Callithrix jacchus: one gene and its partners. The protein of the gene in region 1 binds, or shares a complex with, the protein of each later gene. Links are inferred from orthologs where the notes say so. Each region holds a gene or a part of one and is shown on either strand. Other genes may lie near its edges.

Region 1 (7,841 bases):
CTGCCTGTCCCTCTCTCCTTGTCTGCCTGACCGCTGTGCCCAGGTGGGTTTGCAAGCACATCAAGAAGCCCATCCGCTCCACCGTCCTCAGCCTGGACTGGCACCCCAACAATGTGCTGCTGGCTGCTGGCTCCTGCGACTTCAAGTGCCGGTGAGACAGGGCACCATGGGGGAGGGCGGGGCTGATGTCAGCTGACTGCCGAAATCACAGCAGGGATTGGGGGGTTGGGGGACCTCCACCTGAAAGTTCTACACCTCACCTTCTAGACCTCCTCCAGAGCTGCTATCAGTGGATGACCTGGGCATCAGTTGAAGGTTCTAGTCCCTGGGGAACCCTTCATGTCTCAGCAGGACGTGCCCCCGCCCACCTGTTTTATTTTTTTGAGATAGGGACTTGCTCCATTGCCCAGACTGGAATGCAGTGGTGTAGTCATAGCTCACTGCAGCCTCCAAATCCTGGGCTCAAGTGATCCTCTTGCCTCTCATCTTCCCAAGCAAGACTACCATGCTCAGCTAGATGGGCTTTTTTTTTTTTTTTGAGACAGAGTCTTCGCTCATTAGCCCAGGCTGGGGTGTGGTGGTGCCATCTCTACTCACTGCAGCCTTTGTCTCCTGAGTTCAAGTGGTTCTCCAGCCTCAGCCTCCGGAATAGCTGGGACTACAGGTGCATACTACCATGCCTGGCTGATTTTTGTATTTTTAGTACAGATGGGATTTCACCATGTTGGCCAGGCTGGTCTCAAACTCCTGACCTCGGGTGATCCGCCCACCTCGGCCTCACAAAGTGCTGGGATTACAGGCTTGAGCCACCACCCCTGGCTGACAGGATCTTGCTGTGTTGGCCAGGGTAGTCTTGAACTTCGGCCCTTGCCACCACTTAATGCCAGAAAAGTTCTTCCCAGGGCCTTCTCTCCTGACTCACGAGAACTTCCTACCCCTATAGTTTCCTGGCTTCAGTCTGAAGGAAAATGAGTTGGTGTGCTTATTCATACCAAGGTATAAATGACTGAAGCTGAAACAAACCCTGCTTCATTGTTTTAAGGCCTGAAACAGAGTCTCCAGCTGCCATTCACTGTTTTTATTTTTTTTTTGAGACAAGGTCTTGCTCTGTCACCCAGGCTGGAATACAGTGGGGCAATGACAGCTCACTGCAGCCTCGACCTCCTAGTCTCAAGCAATCCTCCTATCTCAACTTTGAAAGTAGCTGGGACTATAGGCACAACCACTATGCCCGGGTAGGTGCTTTTATTCTTAGTAGCAATGGGGTCTCACTATGTTGCCCAGGTTGGTCTTGAACTCTCGGCCTCAAGAAATCCTCCCACCTTAGCCTCCTAACAGTGTTGGGATTACAGGCATGAGCCACTGCGCCCAGCCACCTGTTAACCCTTTAAAAATATATTTTTTTAAATTTTGAGTCAGTCTCTGTGGCCCAAACTGGAATGCAGTAGTACAATCACAGCTCACTACAGCCTTAACCTCCTGGGTTCAAGTGATCCTCCCGCCTCAGCCTCTTGAGTAGCTGAGACTACAGGTGTGCACCACTTTACCCTTTTTTGCCTCTCCTGATAGGATCTTTTCAGCCTACATCAAGGAGGTGGAGGAGCGGCCGGCACCCACCCCATGGGGCTCTAAGATGCCCTTTGGGGAGCTGATGTTTGAGTCCAGCAGTAGCTGCGGCTGGGTACATGGCGTCTGCTTCTCAGCCAGTGGGAGCCGCGTGGCCTGGGTGAGCCATGACAGCACCTTGTGCCTGGCTGATGCCGAGAAGAAGATGGCGTGAGTAGAGGCCATCCCTGGGGAGGAGGTGAGTGCAGAGGAGTGGGACAGCATGGCTGACAGCTCTCTCCCCTCAGCGTCGCGACCCTGGCCTCTGAAACACTGCCGCTGCTGGCGCTGACCTTCATCACAGACAACAGCCTGGTGGCAGCGGTAAGGAATGGGGAGGGAAGGAGGGGGGGGTGTGGTCAGAACTTTGTGGTAGGCTTCGCAAAGAGCCCAGCAACTCTCACTCATCTCTTCCCTCCTTTCTCCTGTCTCCCGCCTTTTTTTCTTCCTTGCATTCTTGGGTTATGCTGCAGTAACCGAAAGACCCTGGCTGCAGTTGCTTAACAGAATAAAGATTTGGCCAGGGCCGAGCGTGGTGGCTCACACCTGTAATCCAAGCACTTTGGAGGCCAAGGCGGGCGGATCACCTGAGGTCGGGAGTTCAAGACCAGCCTGACCAACACGGTGAAACCCCATCTTAAAAAAAAAAAAAGATGCCGGGCGCGGTGGCTCAAGCCTGTAATCCCAGCACTTTGGGAGGTCGAGGCAGGTGGATCACAAGGTCAAGAGATCCAGACCATCCTGGTCAACATGGTGAAACCCCGTCTCTACTAAAAATACAAAAAATTAGGTGGGCATGGTGGTGTGTGCCTATAATCCCAGCTACTCAGGAGGCTGAGGCAGGAGAATTGCCTGAACCCAGGAGGCGGAGGTTGTGGTGAGCCGAGATCGCGCCATTGCACTCCAGCCTGGGTAACAAGAGTGAAACTCCATCTCAAAAAAAAAAAAAAAACAAAAAAAGATTTGGCCAGGTATGGTGGCTCATGCTTAAAATCCCAGGTTAAGGTGGAAGTATCACTTCCACCTTATGAGGCCATGAGTTTGAGACAACACCGTGAGACCCTTGTCTCTGCAAAAAGTTAAGAAATTAGCTGGGTGTGGTGGTGTACCTGTAATCTCATAATCCCAGTTACTTAGGAGACTGAGGCAGGTGGATCACTTGAGCCTGGGAGGTTGAGGCTTCTGAAGTGAGCTATGTTCATGCCACTGCACTTCAGCCTGGGCAACAGAGAATCTGTCTCAAAAAAAAAAAAAAATCCAGGCTTGGTGGCTCATGCCTGTAATCCTAGCATTTTTGGAGGCTGAGGAGGGCAGATCACTTGAGGTCAGGAGTTCAAGACCAGCCTGGCCAACAAAGCAAAACCCTATCTCTAATAAATATACAAAAATTAGCCAGGCATGGTGGCGGACACTTGTAACCCCAGCCAGCTACGGGGGAGGCTAAGGCAGGAGAACTGCCTGAACCCAGAGGCAGGGGTTGTAGTGAGCCAAGATCCTGCCACTGCACTCCAGCCTGGGCCACAGAGATTCCATCCCCCTCCACCCCCCTCCCCGCCAAAAAAAAAAAAAAGAGATTTACTTCTTGCTCACATTATATGTCCAGTGTGGGTGTTGTGAGGGGCTCTGATGGAGGCTGTCCCCAGCATGCTGCCCCAGATGCCATGAGGCAGCTGGAACCTGGGGGATAATGCCCTGGGTCCTAACATTTCTGCCCATATTTTATTGGCTAGTGCAATGGCAAGGCCACGCCTAATGCAAAGGCAGGAGTTCAGGGCATGCAGTTCCTCCAGGTGTCCGGGAAGGGCGCTGCTCTCCCTCTCCTCTCCCCACATCTATTAAGTCCCTTTTCACCCCTCGGCAAACATATGGGGGTGCCAGGGGCAGGTTAGGCCTGATTTTTGCCTTAAAGAGCAACCAGCTGCAGGGATCTCCCTTAGAGCAGGTGTAACTACCCAGGCCGGACAGAAGGCGCCTGGGTCCCCAGGAGTCCCAACGCTGGCCTTGCTGAGGGAGGGGGCAGCCTGCAGCATCGCCTCCGGTGTTGATACACCTGCCATTAGGGCCTCCGGAGCCGCCAGACGTCCTCTTGGCCTCCCCTCCGGCCTCGGTTTTCCCTCGGCGGCGCTCCAATGGCACCCCCGCCCCCTCGCAGGGCCATGACTGCTTCCCGGTGCTGTTCACCTACGACGCCGCTGCGGGGACGCTGAGCTTCGGCGGGCGGCTGGATGTGCCCAAGCAGAGCTCACAGCGTGGCTTGACGGCCCGCGAGCGCTTCCAGAACCTTGACAAGAAGGCGAACTCCGAGGGCAGCACGGCCGCAGGCTCGGGCCTGGACTCGCTGCACAAGAATAGCGTCAGGTGAGGGCGGGGGCGGGGCCTTGATTTGCCCGAGGGTAGGCGTGGCTTCTCACTGCTGCTGGGGGGGTAGGCGTGGGGTGAGGGGCGAGGCCGATAACTGCATAGGGTGGGAGCCAATAGATGGGGCGTGGCCTCGCAGCAGAAGAAGTTGTGGGCGGGACCGTCTCCATCTAACCCTAGCAGCACTGGGGCTAGTGGACCCAAGAGGGACGCATTGGGACCCGACATGAAAGGTGGGGTCGACCTCTTCAGGTTGAACAAAAATAGTATCCGATAGGGGCCAAGCAGCCTAGCTTTGCATTTCTGGGACATGGCTGGGTGGGATCTGTAGTAGGGCTGGCCAGGCAGTGACGGGGGTGGGGAGGGTGGCCTTCCTGGACGGGGTCACAGCTGCGACAAGTCTATTGCTAGAACCCAGCGAGGTGGGGGTGAAGCTGAGAGTCTCCTGCAGCCTTCCAAGGCTCTAGGGTGGGCGGGGGGGCGGGAAAGAGGCTCTCCAAAGCACAAGAGCTGCAAGCCACGTGTGTCCACTCGGAAGCAAATCAGAGGAAGCTGTATGGCAAGACTTTGGTCAAGCCCTTCAGCCTGTAAACCCACCTCTGGCCGCCAGATCAGATGGCTTCCTCAGACGAAACACCTTTGCCTGGCTGTTAGCCCCTGGGTGCTCCCACCCCCATCTCTTTTGTCCTGTCCACCTGTGTTGCTGGCACTGTATACTCCATAGACACATCCTTCCTGCCTCCCAGGACTTTGAGTGTCCTGTCCCATTTGCCTGCACCCCGCACACCACTGCTCGTCTCCAAAGCAGACCTGACTCCTAAGCCCACTTTACTGCCCAGGCTGTCCCTGGCTGTCACACCTCCTCTCGGCACTTCTCACTGGAGCCCGCTCCCCTAGAAGTCTGGAAGCTCCTGGTGGACAGGGTGGGCCTTAGCCTGGTGCACAGGTTGGATTCATAAGCTCCTCTTCCTCTTTGCAGCCAGATCTCGGTGCTCAGCGGGGGCAAGGCCAAGTGCTCACAGTTTTGCACCACTGGCATGGACGGTGGCATGAGTATCTGGGATGTGAAGGTGAGGCTTCCCCCTCCTGGCTTCCTGCCATGCCCCAGGTCAGCTCTTTCCCCCCATCCTCCCTCCCTGGAGATGACCCCCATCCTTCATTCCTGCAGAGAAGGCACTGCATGGGGATGAGAGGTGGAGGCGGCCTCTTTACATCTGGGCCTTGGTGCTCACTGGGGCACCCATCTTCAGGGCCGAGATTCAAACCCATGTCTGACAGACTCAAAGTCCAGGTTCTCTGCCCTCTGCTGTTCTGGGGCTGATGTGTGATCAGGTCCCTGGGGTGGGGAGTGCCTGTAGGACAATTGAGAACCAGCCTGTCCTTTCTGCCTCCCTGCAGAGCTTGGAGTCAGCCTTGAAGGACCTCAAGATCAAATGACCTGTGCGGAATGTCTTCATCCCAGCTGCTGGGGAAGCAGGGTGAAGGGTCAGGGAGGCTACTGGTTGCTTTGCTGAATGTTTCTGGGGTACTGGTATGCGTTCCCACAGGGGCTGCTCCCTCAAAAAGGGAGGGGACAGATGGGAAGCTTTTCTTACCTATTCAAGGAATATGTGCCTTTTTCTTAAAGAAATGCTTTCATTTATTGGAAAAAAAAAATTCCCCCAAAGCACTGTGCTGGTCATGAACTGCTTCAAAATGTGGAGGTAATAAAATGCAACTGTGTCAAAAAACAAAGCAATTGTGGATCTTATTGACTACCCTGTCTCAGAGCCACAGGGGCATCAGGGACCTTACCACAGCCCTCACCTTCTTGCGCCTTCCTCCATCTCATTTTCATGGCTGTACACTTGAACCTGGGCAGCAGCTACAAGATTTCCAGGGCAGAGGAGGTGGCTTTGGTAATACCTTTGAGGTGATTCCTGCTCCTTGGGGGTCAGCATTGGAAGTTTTCTTCAGCAGGCCAAGGGCTTGGAGGTCAGGGTGAGGCAGATACTCACAGCTGTGGGATCCCCCAGGGCTCCTGGTGCTGTCGACTCCAACACGGTCAAGCACACAAGTGTGGTGGGGGTTGCTGGGAGGGCTCTATACTAAATAATTTTGGCTCTGAGACGGTAGTCATAAGGTAGGTGTCTTGTGACACGTTCTTGAAGGAGGAGTTCCGTGGCTGGCCTGAGGCCATGTTTAGTGAAGTTTCCTCTGTGTGCCTAAGACAGTCCTCCTCTTGCCCTACCTTAAGGTGGGGGGCTGCCCAAAACGAGAAAGAGTAGCTCTACTCCTACCTGGCACCCAGTTACATCAATAGAGCCCCTCGCCCCTTGGAACCATGCACACAAAATACTGCTGTTCACAGGGTACAGGGGCAGACAGGTGCTATGGGGTCACCTTTCACTGGCCTGAATCCACAGGCAGGCCACTCCTAAACCTCAGTTTCCCCACTATCAGTCTCCGTCACAGAGGATTGAGAGAAGTGCTGCCAGTGCTGGGTACCAGCTCTTGGGTGGCTTCCTCTGGTACAGAACTCCTGAGGCTATTACCCCCAGGGGACACCTGCAGGCCAGGCCGGGATCCTGGTGCTGCTTCAGCCTGCTGTGGCCTGGAAGGGTCTCTGGCTGCTGAGGCCCAAGATCCCGACTTGGCTAAGGAAGGCAGGGGCAGGCTGTGGCAGCTAAGGTCTCTCCCAGCCCTGATCCTGGGGTCCAGTCCCTGCACCGTGCTCAGTGCTGCCTGACAAATGTCATGCCTCAGGTAAATACCTGTCCTGAACCTTGCCAGGTGCATGTGCCTTAGCATGACACCATATCCTGCTGCATAAAAATGGCTTGGGCACAGGAGCCAAAGGATGGATTACAAAACAAAGATTACGATAATGTCAAGTTTAATCTGCCAAATATACAAGTTGAATTTGTGGAGCGTGTTTTGCCTGGGTGCTGCACAGTAAACAGGTTTCTTGAAATGATCAATGGGTAGGGTTAAAATGGGCACTGGCCCTGGCCAGGTGGGTAGGAACTGGGTGGAGAGGGCAGACAGGACAGACAAGCCATGACCCTTAAGGACCCAGTGGCACAGGCTCCCAGATGACAGCCCCTCTTTGAATGAGCACCCAGGCAACACAGTCCGGGGCTGGTTGTAGCAAACCCATCAGCAGATGCCTCCTGGCATGACCACCCCCGTCCGTGCTATCTACCAGACAAAGGAAAGCTCTTCATACCCCATCTCCCAGGCACCCCCCAACAAGGGCTCTGAATTCTAAAAACAGCGAAAACATTCAAATGGTTACATACGAAATGCTGTCCTGCATCTTTCTGTCTCAAAGATAGCAGCTTGCCCCTCCCCCAGCCCCCCCATCTCCCCAAACAATTGCTGTGCCAAGATGAAGAGGAGGCCCCAGGCTGTGGGGGACTCCTGGCCGTGAGGGGCTGTTGCAGCGGTGCCAGGGCACAGGGTAGGTGAGACACAGCAGAGGTCCCGGCAGCGTGGCCCAGGTCCTCGGCATCTTGCATTTACTTATTCAGGGAGAGTGACTGCATTCTTTTTCCCGACAGTGTGGCATCATCTTTTGCTGAGGGGTGGGAGGAGAAGGGCAGGGGTTAGAACAAAGCAACCCCCTACTCCCAACACATGTGCCAGAACCCTAGACCTTTAGGTCTGAAGGGCCACAGAAAATGTTCTGAGCAACAAAGAAGGGACCCAGGAAGGGCCGAGGTGCAGGAGACGATTTCTGCTGCAGCTATGGCCCCAGGCCCCAGACATTCCCGACATGTTTCAGTGGCCAGGAGCACCTTATGCAACGCTGTCCCTCCACAAAGCCCCACCAACACATACTCTAGGGGGCAAATGGAAAATTCTCACCCTACCTCCCAGAACCCTGTAATTCTTTT
Region 2 (6,392 bases), on another chromosome or scaffold:
CCTAACACTGTGGGGCTTGAGGTGAGGAGTTGAAGACCAGCCTGGCCAATGTGGAGAAACTCTATCTCTGCCAAAAAATACAAAAAAAAATTAGCTGGGGGTGGTGGTGGCATGCATCTGTATTCCCAGCTCCTCAGGAGGCTGAGGCAGGAGAATCCCTTGACCCAGGAGGCAGAGGTTGCAGTGAACCAAGATCACACCATTGCACTCCAACCTGGGTGACAGAGTGAGACCTTGTCTCAAAAAGAAAAAAAAAAGAGTTAGGGATAGGCCAGGCACAGTGGCTCACGCTTATAACACCAGTGCTTTGGGAGGCCGAAGCTGGTGGAATGCTTGAGTCCAGGAGTTTGGGACCAGCCTGGGCAACATGGCACAACCTCATCTCTACCTGTAATCCCAGCACTTCGGGAGGCCAAGGCAGGCAGATCACTTGATGTCAGGAGTTGGAGACCAATCTGGCTAACATGGTGAAACCATGTCTCTACTAAAAATACAAAAATTAGTTGGACATGGTGGCATGTGCCTGTAGTCCCAGCCCCTCGGCCAGCTGAGGCGTGAGAATTGCTTGAATCTGGGAGGCAGAGGTTGCAGTGAGCCGAGATCATCCTGCTGTACTCCATCCTGGGCAACAAAGGGAGACTGTCTCAAAAAAAAAAAGATAGCTAGGCATGGTAGTGCATGCCTGTAAGTCACAGCTACTTGGAGGCTGAGGTGGGAGGATCACTTGAACCCAGGAGGTCAAGGCTGCAATGAGCTGTGATTGCATCACTGCACTCCAGCCTGGGTGACAGAGCAAGACCCTGTCTCACAAAAAGGAGTTAAGAAGAGAACCACCTAAGCAGCCAGATGGAAGTTCTCTGTCATTTGGCACTTCTTAGGTTTTTTTGCTTATTAAACCCAGGCTCCAGCCATGATGCACAGACTCCACTTTTTCATGGAAGAAATTCAAGTCTTCTTCAGTTGCTCCAGCCTCATGCACTAGCTGATTATGATAGCTCACAGTTTGGAGTTAACACTGTGTTCATACTGCACCTGATGCCACTGGAATGCCTCCTTTTGTGAAATGTAATTTAATTTACCTTACTAGTAAAGGTGAACCTGCTTATCTTTAAGAATAAACCAAATGTGTTGTTCTACCAAATTTCATTAAATCTGAATTGTACACTTTTCTTTCTCTCTGTCACCCAGGCTGGAGCGCAGTGGTGTGATCTTGGCTCACCACGACCTCCACTTCCCAGGCTCAAACAATTCTCGTGCCTCAGCTTCACTAGTAGCTGATACTACAGGCACATGCCACCACACTGGGCTGATTTTTGTATTTTTAGTAGCAACGGGGCTTTGCCATGTTGGCCAGGCTGATCTCAGCCACTTCGACCTCCCAAAGTGCTGGGATTACAGGCGTGTGCCACCATGCCTAGCCAGCTATAAATTTTTTTTTTCAAGATTTTATCTTTGAATCTGGGATGCATCTTACAACTCATGGCATGTCATAGTTTGATTGGCAGCATTTTTCTCTCGTACATAAAATTACGGCAGACTTATAGTCATAAGCACCTTAGATTCTTTGAAATACAGTTATCTTCTATTGTGGTATTCATTTACTTTCAGGTCAGGGCAAGTTGACACAGAAAATCCATACATCCCTAGGAGGCATTCCTTTTCATTTCAACAAAAACATCAGAGAACCTCAGGGTTTTGCAGATAGTGAGTAGGGGAAGTTCAGCAGATAAAGAAGATTCCAAAAAACCAGGGCAGGAGGGGCATGCAGGTCTGCTCCAGTGCAAAGGACCGAGTAATGACCACACAGGTCTTTTTTCTTTTTCTTTTGTGAGATGGAGTCTTGCACTGTCACCCAGGCTGGAGTGCAGTGATGCGATCTCAACTCACTCACTGCAACCTCTGCCTCCCGGATTCAGGCAATTCTCTCGCCTCAGCCTCCTGAGTAGCTGGGATTACGGGGAGACACCATCATCCCTGGATAATTTTTTTATTTTTAGTAGATATGGGGTTTCACCATGTTCCCCAGGCTGGTCTTGGACTCCTGACCTCAGATGATTTCCCCGCGTCAGCCTCCCAAAGTGCTGGGATTACAGGCATGAGCCACCGAGTCCAGCCTCACACAGGTCTTTAGGTGGCTGGTGCCACAGGGTGGACTTCACTCAGGTCCAGTCAGAGCAGCTCTTCCTACCTGGCCTATCAAGAGGGTTCAGGTGCTGGTTTTCACAGTGAGACTATGGGAAATACTCTGGCATCTTATTTTCTGTGAAGGTTTACTCTATTTCAGCACCACGGACCTAAGACGGGCAGCTGCATTTCCTAATCCTGATTCCTTAAGGTAAACTGTTATAGCCAGTTAGTGTGATTCTGGAGTATGCCCAACTGCAGAGGCAGGAGCTATAGTACATGTGCGGGAGACCAGGAATGGATTTCAAAATTCATAGCTGCAGAATCCAGACCTAGAATGGAGGCTCAGGGTCAAGCCCTGTTTTTCCATGGGCTCCTCTGTTCACACTCATTGACACCTCTCCTGGTCATGCTGTGTATCCTTCCGTGCCTCAAAAAAACAACCCTGACACAGCCTGATAATACTGACATGAGTGGAGTGTACTTCAGAGAGAGAGCGAAGTTCACTAGGCTGTTGTTCCTCCTCACCCTTTGACATTTGTGTTCTGAAGCCTTGTGTTCTCCACCTTCAGTGCTATTCCCTCGCCACACCAATGCCAGTGCTCGAGACAACACCATCAACCTGATCCACACATTCCGGGACTACCTGCACTACCACATCAAGTGCTCTAAGGTGAGGGCGGGCAGCATCTCAGCGTCTGTGCCCTGGGTCTTTCCCTCCACCAGAACTCATAACAAAAAGTCATTCCGTTAGTCTAGGCTGTGAATATTGACTCTTAGGTAGATAGTTCTAGAAGCTTCAAGAAATCATGGCCTCTCTTCATCAAGCCACTGTCCCCCTCCCCTCCCCATAGCAGAGATGACTATGTTTCCAGAATTGCTCACCTTCCTGCTTCCCTGCAGGGGAGTATTCCCAAGGTGTCTGTTCTCAGATGCCCCTGATGAAAGCAAAGCTGTCTTTCTAGACCATGACTGCGCTTCAGTACCTTCTTTTGTGTTTGTTCCCAGGCCTATATTCACACACGTATGCGGGCAAAAACATCTGACTTCCTCAAGGTGCTGAACCGCGCACGCCCAGATGCCGAGAAAAAAGAAATGAAAACAATCACGTAAGTTAGCCAGTACCCCAGCAGGACCGTCTTCTCCTGAGCCACCGAGAAGGAAGCAGTGGATGCTGGTGGCCTGGTCCTCCACGTGTCCGGGCACTGGCTACATGTGAGGCCAGCAGGGCTAAGCAGATAGACCAAAGGTGGGATTCCAGGTTTTTGCTGCCATATGGGCCAGGGTGGGTTTCCTTGTTTCCACATTTTTGTGAGCTCTGAGAATGACAGCTAGGAAATAAAGTTTACAAAGAAACTGTTACTTTTGGGCCTGAGTTCTGAGGTCAGTCTTGTCCTTCTTGTGGTCTTTCTGGAGAAATGGAATAAGTTGCTTAGGGACCTTTAATTGGGTAAATAGGGCTGAAACCACCCCACTAAGCGCTCTGTTGCCCAGGCTAGAGTACAGTGGTGCTATCTCAGCTCACTGCAACCTCTGCCTCTGGGTTCAAGCAGTTCTCCTGCCTCAGCATCCCAAGTAGCTGGGATTACAGGTATACACAGCCACACCCAGCTAATACTTTGTATTTTAGTAGAGATGGTTTCACCATGTTGCCCAGGCTGGTCTCGAACTCCTGAGCTCAGGCAATCTGCCTGCCTTGGCTTCCCAAAGTGCTGGGATTATAGGCATGAGCCACCGCACCTGGCCCATGTGCTGTCCTTTGTACCAGTTGAACTAAAAGTCTTGAAGTCATAAGCCTCCCTAACAACCAATGTGTTTGCCAACAGCCCAGTACTTTTTTGAGATGAAGTTTTGCTCTTGGTATACTGGCTGGAGTGCAAAGGCATGATTTTAGTTCGCTGCAGCCTCTGCCTCCTGGGTTGTCTTGCCTCAGCTTCCCAAGTAGCTGGGACTACAGGCACTTGCCACTATGCCAAGCTAACTTTTTTGTATTTTTAGTAGAGATGGAGTTTCACCATTTTGGCCAAGCTGGTCTCAAACTCTTGACCTCATGATCCACCGACCTTGGCCTCCCAAAGTGCTGGGATTACAGGCGTGAGCCAGCACGCCCAGCCCAGTATTCTTTTTTTTTTTTTAAGACAGAGTCTCACTCTGATCCCCAGGCTGCAGTGCAGTGGTGAACCACTGGGGTGCAAGTAATCTTTCACCCCAGCCCCCCCAAGTAGCTGAGACCACACGTATGCACCATCATAGCTGGCTAATTTTTGAAATTTGTAGAGACGGAATTTCGCCATGTTGTCCAGGCTAGTCTCGAACTCCTGGGCTCAGGTGATCCTCCTACCTCAGACTCCCAAAGTGTTGGGATAACAGACATGAGCCACTGCACCTGGCCCAGCACTCTTGAGGCAAACTTTTAGAGGGTGTGGCGTGCCCAGGGCTTTACACTCCCTCTCTTGCATTGAGGGCTCTTCTACCAAGTTAGTTTCTGCTGCCATTTAAAAGGATGAGAGAGATCCCAAGGGCCTGAGCAGTAGGGGAGGGTTTTCAGACATTTGCAAAAAGCAGGTTAAGTCACCCCTGACTTTTAGCAAAGGCCTGTCTCTGTAGCAGCTCAGAGAGGAGTGTCCAAATACCATGTAAAGAAATGGCAGCGTTGTTTATTTTCTGCAGCTTCTTAGGCAGATCCTTAAATGGACAAAGCGACCAACGAGGTGGGTGGGCAGGTGAGAGGATGTTTTCTTGCTGCTCCTCCAGAACCTGGTCTCCATCCTGGTGTCTCCATTTTCCCCTTTCCCTGCCTGCTCTACACAGGGGTGCTTTTCTCACCAGGTACCTATTTCATGACCTGGAGGGTGAGGCAACGAATTTCAAGCTGCTTTCTGGGCCCAGTAGATGGGCAGTTCCGTAGAGGCCAAGAGGTATACCAGCAGCCAGTTACAGTGAAAAGAAAGCCTGACCTGGCAGCCTGTGATTACCAGACTGAAGGCTAGGCGTCCTCATAGCCTTAGGCCTGCCTGCATCACTTTTGGCGCTGGTAGCTGCTTGTGCATCCAGGAGGAAGGCCTATCAGGCAGCTGCCACCCTATTCCACAGCCAGCGGGTAGTCTTGGGAGTCCCTGCCCAGTGAGTGCAGTTGTGTAGGTGCAGGGATAGCTCCCTGTCCTGATGAGAGACCTGGCAGAGGATGAATCCTTGAAATAAACAGTTCATCAACCTCCTCTCTGGGACTTAGAAAGAGCAACTTTGCCTTCTGTGCTGCAACTTCTCTTTGGCAGAGTTGGGCCCTAGAAAGGAGAAGCAGGAGACAAACAACTGCATCCACCCTAAAAACCAGATTATGTTACTAATGGTGGGTAGGAGTTAAGTGACTCAGCTGTGGGCAGATGCCAGGAGCCCTCGATGGTCCGCCCAGAATTGAATACTCATGAGCTTTTCATTTTGAGCGAAGGGTAAATAAGATGTAGCTTCATTTTAGAGTGAGCAATACATCCAAGACAGGGAAAATGGAGAGCCCTTGTTTTCGCCCTGATTTCCCATAGTTCTCAGCTCTAGCTTCCAGGCTACTTTCCCAGATACTGTTAGAAACAGTTACAGGCTCTGTCCTTGTGAACCAGCTAGCCAGTCTGGAGAAATAGTAGCTGGAACAGGACACCACAATTCAGGAGCCTCGAACCAGGCAAGTGTTTTGTAAGCCAGAGGAGGAGTCACCACATAACAAATGCCTTTAACCATGGAAGTTCTGAGGATTGCTTTGAACCACCTGTCCTCATAGTGACAGATGAAGGAACTGCTGTCTGAGAGCCCTGAAAGGTAGAAGCTCTGTAGGAGGAGCTGACAAATGAGGTAGTACTAAGAAGACAGATGAGCCCAGTCGGAAATTCAGTACATGTAGGCCATCCCAAAATTGTGAACAGGTGATTCTTCTGTCTAACTTGGTATTTGAATGTCCTTATGAACTTAACACTAATACTCCTGGGCGTCCAGAGTATCCGATGGGAAGGAAGAGCTGGTGAAATCATTCTTTGAAAGCCGAATTTTAGCCCATGCCCTGTGGTTCCAGTGCCTCTACTTAGGAAATCTAGCCCTTTCCACCTCTTGTTTGGTGTCTCTTTGAGATCCCATCTAGTCTAGGACTGTGGGGTGGGAGGAAAGGGCAGCCAGAAACTGACTTCACACTTCTCCTTTTGAAGGGGGAAGACGTTTTCATCCCGCTAATCTTGGGAATAAGAGGAGGAAGCGGCTGGCAACTGAAGGCTGGAACACTTGCT
Region 3 (7,137 bases), on another chromosome or scaffold:
CAAAAAAAGTAACAGCCATGACAGCTTCTCCACAGCTCCCTTGTGCCCTGGCATGGAAGCTGCTAGAAAGCCCTGCCAGCATCTTGCTTGGTGAACTGAGGTTGCTTTCTTTAGGCATGGGGGCTCACATGCAAGGGGCTTTGGGACTTAGAGGGCCAAGTGCAGAAGGATCCAGGTTCTGGTACTTTTGTGTCAAGCTCTGGATGATCTGGCCCTTGAAATATTTTCTGCCCTCAAGGGTCCCCCATGCTGCCTAAGACAGTCCTGGACATTTTAGAGACCAAAGGTTGTGAACCAATGCCCATGCCTGCAACTATTCCAAAGATGAGTACTGTATGGCCCACGTGGTATTTATATGAATTAGTTGCTAACCTTGAAAACATGGGAGACACCATATACAAATCCAAATCTGGGGGCTCAATGGGCTGGAGCTGTGTGGGAGCCAGCCCCTGCAGATGAGGCATGTGCTCAGCAGCTCCTCACCCTGCCCTCTCCATACTCCATACTTAGCCCACTCCACAGCCACCCGACCTTTGCATGCACCTGATTTGTGACCCCTGACACATCTAAGATCTAAGATAGGTTATGGTACTATCTTAGATCTCTGAGTCAGACAACCCAGTTCCATGTTCTGGTTCCTCCTCTTACTGGCTGAGGGACCTTGGACAGTTGCTTTTAATTCCAGAGTCCCAGTTTACTGATCTCTAAAATGGTGATAATAGCTGACTCAAAAATTGTTTTGAGGCCGGGTGTGGTGGTTCAAGCCTGTAATCCCAGCACTTTGGGAGGCTGAGGCGGGTGGATCACGAGGTCAAGAGATAGAGACCATCCTGGTCAACATGGTGAAACCCCGTCTCTACTAAAAAATACAAAAAATTAGCTGGGCATGGTGGTGCGTGCCTGTAATCCCAGCTACTCGGGAGGCTGAGGCAGGAGAATTGCCTGAACCCGGGAAGTGGAGGTTGCGGTGAGCCGAGATCGTGCCATTGCACTCCAGCCTGGGTAACAAGAGCAAAACTCCATCTCAAAAAAAAAAAAAAAAATTGTTTTGAGTAATAAATGGGACATGTGAACATGCTTTTTTAGGTGTCTAATTCTATGAAATGTAATTGTCACAAATAAGTAAATGATTATTGAATGAGTGAGCCAAAGATTCAATTGGAACAAGAGCTATTTTCCCCTTCCAGTTCAATCTAGAGGCCTCCTAGTACCCTGGACATAAAATTTTGATACTGCAATACATGGAAAGCTTACTATGTACCAGGTGCTACATTTTACACATATGGTCTCATTTAATGCTCAACCACTCTGAAAGACATGTATTAACTACCAAATCCTCATTTCACAGCTGAGGAAACTGAGGCTTAGTTGAGAATTCAGTGACATGCCTAAGTAGGCGGTGGAACCTGGTTTCACACACAGGTTGTCGGCCTCCACAGCTGACTGAGCTCAACAACCACGCTGATCTGTGTGCACAGCACAGCTACTTTGTATGCTGGCCACCCTGAGTATAATTAAATCCCAGGGGAAGCAGGTATAATTTCCATTTTTAGCAATCTGAGCTCCTTCTGGACTGGGTGTGCACTCACTGGTGAGAGTACACACTAAGTCTACTGCCTAGAGATCACAGCCACTCTGGGTAGAACATGCCAACAAACCAAAGATTGTTTAGAAAAGTAGAAAAAAAAAGAAGGCATGTCTTGAATATCTAAACAACTAAGAACTATGTCATCAGTTACCAATGTAAATAATTCCACCTCTTCATATGACTACAGTCCTTTCGATTAGAAAGGCATAAACAATATAAGAGGAATCTGGAGGACTTAGGCCATGCAAGTGATGGAAAACAGGTTGAAGGAATCATGACTTTAAGCCTAAGAAACAGACGCTAAGGAAAGTACTGATGTCTATTTGAGAAGTGGAATTATACCATGATTAACTGTCCTATATTCCGGGAAAATTCACATGCAGACTTCACTTGCCTCACTTAGGGTTTGAACTAGATAGAGGTAAGGACTTTATGAACATCCTGAGATATAGAAATGAGTGTCCAAGTTCCTACAAGAGACTAAGAGACATCCTAGACACCCAAAAATACAGAAAATGCCTGTAGCGCTCAGAGATGAACCTGGGGCCTTCTAGCTCCAAAGCACCTGAGCAACCTGCTGTGTTCTAGGGGTTCCAAAGATATAAACACACTGCTAGCACCCCTTTCCCACCAGGTGCTAAGTTCTCAACATGACTCCAGATCCTTCAGCCTCTGGAAGGAAAGCAGAAAAGCCTATACTCACATTCTTAAGGAACTCCTCAGCCACAATGCGGGCACGGGCATTGACTGACAGCTTCATTTCACTGATCTCCTTGTCAATCTCCTCCATGAAGTGGATCACAAAGTCCACCAACTTGTGTTTGTACATCTGCTCTGTGTGGAAGTTGGTGATCAGAAAGCTGATGTCATACCCCTAGGAAAGAAGACAGCAGGGAGGAAGAAGGGAAGGAACAGGAGAGAATTAGCACCCCAGGGGAAGTGAGCTGGTCATGTCCTCCACTCATTCACATGTTTCTCACTGGCTGTGATCTTCTCCCAAGCTACACACCCTTCCAGTCAGCAGCCCACCTGCTCTGGGGAAGGGCGTGTAGGTTGGATCCAAGCAACTCAATCCAGTTGAGAATTCTGTGTGTATCAGACATCTCTGGAAGACTATCTGTGGCACAAACAACTCTACATTCAGAATGAGTCAAGGCACTTGAAGTCTTGTTACAGAAGAATCTAATCAAACAACAGGGAACATTTAGTCCAGAAAAGAGATGATGTGGAAGATGAGTGGGATTAAGGTATTTTTTCTGCTGGAGGCGTATGTGAGGAAGAGGAATTTTATTTACTCCAGGTGGCCAAAGAGGTTAGATCTAGGACCGGGAGAGAAAAATTTGGCTCAGGATGAGGAAGAACTTGGCCAACATGCCTGATGTATCTGATGATGGCATATCCTGCTGTGTGGTAGTTGTGGGGATGCTTTAAGTTAAGTTGGTAAGGAGTCTGTGGAGGAGGGTCAAGTACAAAGTCAGGCAACAACTGACCCAGTGTTAACTGTGGCTTTAAGAGACTATGATTCACTTTAGGAGGCCGAGATGGGTGGATCACCTGAGGTCACGAGACCAGCCTGACCAACATGATGAAACCCCATCTCTACTAAAATTACAAAATTAACCAGGCACGGTAGCACATGGTAGCTACTCAGGAGGCTGAGGCAGGAGAAATGGTTTGAACCTGGGAGGCAGAGGTTTCAGTGAGTCGAGATCACATCATTGTACTCCAGCCTGGGCAACAAGAGCAAAACTCCAACGACAATAACAACAACAAAATCACTGTGCTCTTTCTGCTGCTAGACTGTAGGCTCTGGGAATAAGCAATGTATCTTATATTTTTTGCCTTTTCCTTTTTCTTTTTTTAGATGGAGTCTCACTCTGTCACCCAGGCTGCGTGCAGTGGCACAATCTCGGCTCACTGTAACTTCTGCTTCCCGGGTTGAAGCAATTCTCTGCCTCAGCCTCCCGAGTAGCTGGAATTACAGGTGCCCGCCATCACACTGGGCTTATTTTTATATTTTTAGTATAGATGGGATGGCACCATCTTGGCCAGGCTGGTCTTGAACTCCTGACCTCATGATCCACCCTCCTCGGCCTCCCAAAGTGTTGGGATTACAGGCATGAGCCACCACTCCTGGTCCTTTTTTGCCTTTTGTATGGCTGAGGTAGACCCAACTTTTCCTAGGCTTCTGATCCTCTTGGTTCCCACTCCAGCTGAGATGAAGGCCAACTCTCAGTTCAGGCGGTGGTGCCAAACAGCTGGAAGAGCAGCAATCCAGGTTCTAGAAACAATTCCAGGCCATTCTGTAGCAGGATCCTGGGTATTGCAAATTCATGGGTCACAAGGTCTCACCTCCACAGGCTTTCTTCGAAGGATGAAGAAGTTTTCTGCTCGCATCATCATGAAGCGCATGAATTTGTGGCATAAAATCTTCTCAATCTCATCGGCCTGGGAAATAAAAGGGAGAAACATTTCTCTAAAGCCGACACCCAAGCCAAAAATACCCTGTAGCCTGGTCTTCTGACTCCAATTTCTCCAAAGCTCCCAGGAGACAGTGAGGTTTGGTACTCGGAAGGATCACTGAAGTGAGGGACCTGGCTGCCAACTGAAACAAGGGTCTATCTTGGGGCATCTCTTAATGAGGACCCATTCCAGAGAGGTAATTCTGGCAAACAGAGTCTTTTATGGCTTCTTTACGAGTCTACAGCGATACGCCAAGCTGCCCTTCTCATTCCCACTTCACTAGTGTTACATTTCCCAGGGTGTGTCGCAGCACCACCTGGGCTATCAGAGATAACTTTAGGTGGTCTCTGCTTTATAACACTGAACATCCAACAATCTCTGAAGTTTCTCCCTTCTGAACTCTCAACATTTCTTTTTTTTTTTTTTTTGAGATGGAGTCTCCCTCTGTTGCCCAGGCTGGAGTGCAGTGGCACAATCTCAGCCCACTGCAACCTCCACCTCCCAGGTCCAAGTGATTCTTGTGCCTCAACCTCCCAAGTAGCTGGGATTACAGGCACGTGCCACCGTACCCGGCCCTGAACGCTCAACATTTGTAAAGAAAGACTTCTGCAGCTGGTTGCTAGTATGCCTTAACACCTCCCAACACTTGTTAATCTCCCATTCTAACAAAGAAAGCAGGCCCCAGGGTTAGAACTTTCTGTAGAACACAGTATGTAGTCTGCATTTAATAATGCTGTTTTGTTTTTATCCTGTTGACAATTTAGAGTTGCCCACTACTGGCTGGGCATGGTGATTCATGCCTGTAATCCCAGCACTTTGGGAGGCTGAGGCAGGCAGATCTCCTGCGGTCAGGAGATTGAGTCCATCCTGACCAACATGGTGAAACCCCATCTCTACTAAAAATACAAAAATTAGATGGACATGTTGGTGGGCGCCTATAATCCCAGCTACTCAGGAGGCTGAGGCAGGAGAATTGCTTGAACCTGGGAGGCAGAAGTTGCAGTGAGCCAAGATCTTGCCACTGCACTCCAGCCTAGGCAACAAGAGTGAGCCTCCATCTGAATGTGGCACGCTGATCTCTCAGATGGGGACCCCTGGATTGAAAGTGAGGTCCTTATGTTACGTCTCTTACAAGGTGACCTTACCTGTTTCACAGCAATGCTGACCCGGACAGAGTTGATGGAGCCCTCAATCAGAACCTTTTCCTTCTCATTCCTGCTGATGGTCACAGGTTGTAACAGGAGTTCTTTGCTACTCCTGAAAACACAATGTCACAGAGTACTCTGTACTATAGAGGGACACAACAGTCAGAGTGACCCCACAGCAAGTCCTGGAATCACTATGACACCATGGAGTCCAAGGAATAGAAGACTCACAAGCAGAAGTGCTCCAAGATGGGGACCAGTGAGTGTGTTCTTCAGCAGAAAGAGCACAGGCTCTGAAGTCAGAGCGAAAAGGTTTTGAAATCCAGCCTCCTCTGTTACTTTCCTGGGCAAGTTACCCTGTTGGAATCTCAATTTTCTCATCTGTAAAATGACTCTGATTCCTATTTCATTGGCAAGGACTGAGAGAGATCAAAAAAGGGTCAGGTATCTAATAGCGTGCCTGGCACATAGTAGGAGCTTTACAAAGGACAGCTGATTTTAGTAACTACAAGTTAAATATCCCCAATCTGTAAATCTGAAATCCAAAATCTGAAACTGGCTGGGCACAGTAGCTCATCCCTGTAACTCCAGCACTTTGGGAGGCTGAGGCAGGTGGATCACTTGAGGTCAGGGGTTTGAGACCAGCCTGGCCAACATGGTGAAATCCCATCTCTACTAAAAACATAAAAATTAGCCAGGTGTGGTGGCACACCCCTATAACCCCAGCTTCTCAGGAGGCTGAGGCACAAGAATTGCTTGAACTCAGGAGGTGGCAGCTGCAATGAGCCAAGATTACACCACTTTACTCCAGCTTGAGCGACAGAATACGACTCTATCTCAAAAAAAAAAAAATCTGAAAGTTTCTGAGTGCTGACAAGATGCTCAAAGGAGATGCTCACTGGAGCATTTGGATTTGGAATTAGGAATGCTCAACTGGTTAAGTATCTGCAAATATTCCACAATCCAAAATACCTCCGGTCCTAAGCATTTTGCTTAAGGGATACTCAACTTATACAGGCAAATCAATATACCATTTAGAAATGCAGAGAGAATACCTGTCTTAGAAGTAGGGAAAGACTAAAACTGAACACAGTTTGGCTTCCTTTAATTATCAATCCAGAAATGATTATTTTTTTTTGCCTCTAGGGGCGGAGAGTGGCAGTCTATAGGAAATAACACAAAGGGCAGAGAAGATCAAAATCTGTCACACCAAACCCACTGATCCCCTATTCCAGCTCCCAAGAAGCCAAGTAGCACTGAGGGTGTGAAGCTCTTAAGACACCACAGTGAACCGAACAGACTAGGCCTTCAAGACCCCTACGAGTTCAGGTTCCAAGGTAATGTCTCCAAATACCTAGAGATCTGTAACAGTAATTAATTGTGGTGTGGTGTGTCTAAACTGGTATCATTTTCAAAGGCCCACTGGAAATCATGAACATTAAGCAAATATAACATCTTATCAGTTATTTTTAAAATTCAAAATTAAATGTTATCACTTAATGCAGTAACCCAGTTTATCTCAGTTATGTATGTACCAGATTGAATTTTATTTACTTATTTTTTGAGATAAGGTCTCACCCACGCTGGAGTGCACTGTCACAATGTTGGCTCACTGCAACCTCTACCTCCCAGGCTCAAGAGATCCTCCCACCTCAGCCTCCCAAGAAGGTGGGTCTGCAGGCATGCACCACCAAACCTGACTATTTTTGTGTATTTTTTTTGGTGGAGATGGAGTCTTGCCATATTGCCCAGGCTGATCTTGAACTCCAGGACTCAAGCGATCTGCCCACTTTAGCCTCCTAAAGTGCTCAGATTATAGGTGTGAGCCACTGTGCCTGGCCTCTAGATTGAATTTTAAAGGGGGAGAAGATATTTATGGAATGGAAATTAGATAAGAGGAAAATCATTCAAAATATGGAGTATTTGGATTAGGGGGTCAGA

The links. Proteins that work in one complex are often made in the same cells at the same time.
Region 2: ARPC1B (region 1) and ARPC2 share a complex: the UniProt entries of both Homo sapiens proteins name them as parts of the arp2/3 complex. The link is inferred for Callithrix jacchus from reciprocal best matches to the Homo sapiens genes ARPC1B and ARPC2.
Region 3: the proteins of ARPC1B (region 1) and ARPC4 are in contact, whole or in part, in a cryo-EM structure (PDB 6YW6), measured with the Homo sapiens proteins. The link is inferred for Callithrix jacchus from reciprocal best matches to the Homo sapiens genes ARPC1B and ARPC4. Residues at the interface, in NP_005711.1 of Homo sapiens: Glu9, Pro10, Asn28, Gln54, Thr72, Arg74, Asn96, Arg97, Ala98, Arg100, Ser143, Thr144, Cys162, Trp204, His206, Leu245, Pro246, His263, Ala319, Gly320, Lys326, Asn327, Ser328, Met350; in NP_005709.1 of Homo sapiens: Gln17, Cys21, Leu22, Glu23, Asn24, Phe25, Ser26, Ser27, Gln28, Val29, Glu31, Arg32, Glu45, Leu46, Leu48, Glu124, Gln125, Tyr127, Lys128, His129.

The regions. Positions count from the first base shown.
Region 1 is NC_133503.1:14,185,739-14,193,579, reverse strand, and holds the end of ARPC1B (actin-related protein 2/3 complex subunit 1B), read left to right. Parts: intron 1-43; coding exon 44-151; intron 152-1,569; coding exon 1,570-1,776; intron 1,777-1,853; coding exon 1,854-1,929; intron 1,930-3,757; coding exon 3,758-3,963; intron 3,964-4,942; coding exon 4,943-5,033; intron 5,034-5,361; coding exon 5,362-5,400; 3' UTR 5,401-5,697; downstream 5,698-7,841. Other genes in the region: PDAP1 (28 kDa heat- and acid-stable phosphoprotein), read right to left, coding at 7,464-7,522. UniProt on the Homo sapiens protein: Component of the Arp2/3 complex, a multiprotein complex that mediates actin polymerization upon stimulation by nucleation-promoting factor (NPF).
Region 2 is NC_133507.1:139,990,145-139,996,536, forward strand, and holds part of ARPC2 (actin-related protein 2/3 complex subunit 2), read left to right. Parts: intron 1-2,696; coding exon 2,697-2,797; intron 2,798-3,132; coding exon 3,133-3,233; intron 3,234-6,314; coding exon 6,315-6,339; 3' UTR 6,340-6,392. UniProt on the Homo sapiens protein: Actin-binding component of the Arp2/3 complex, a multiprotein complex that mediates actin polymerization upon stimulation by nucleation-promoting factor (NPF).
Region 3 is NC_133516.1:66,961,827-66,968,963, reverse strand, and holds part of ARPC4 (actin-related protein 2/3 complex subunit 4), read right to left. Parts: intron 5,309-7,137; coding exon 5,197-5,308; intron 4,037-5,196; coding exon 3,941-4,036; intron 2,463-3,940; coding exon 2,292-2,462; intron 1-2,291. UniProt on the Homo sapiens protein: Actin-binding component of the Arp2/3 complex, a multiprotein complex that mediates actin polymerization upon stimulation by nucleation-promoting factor (NPF).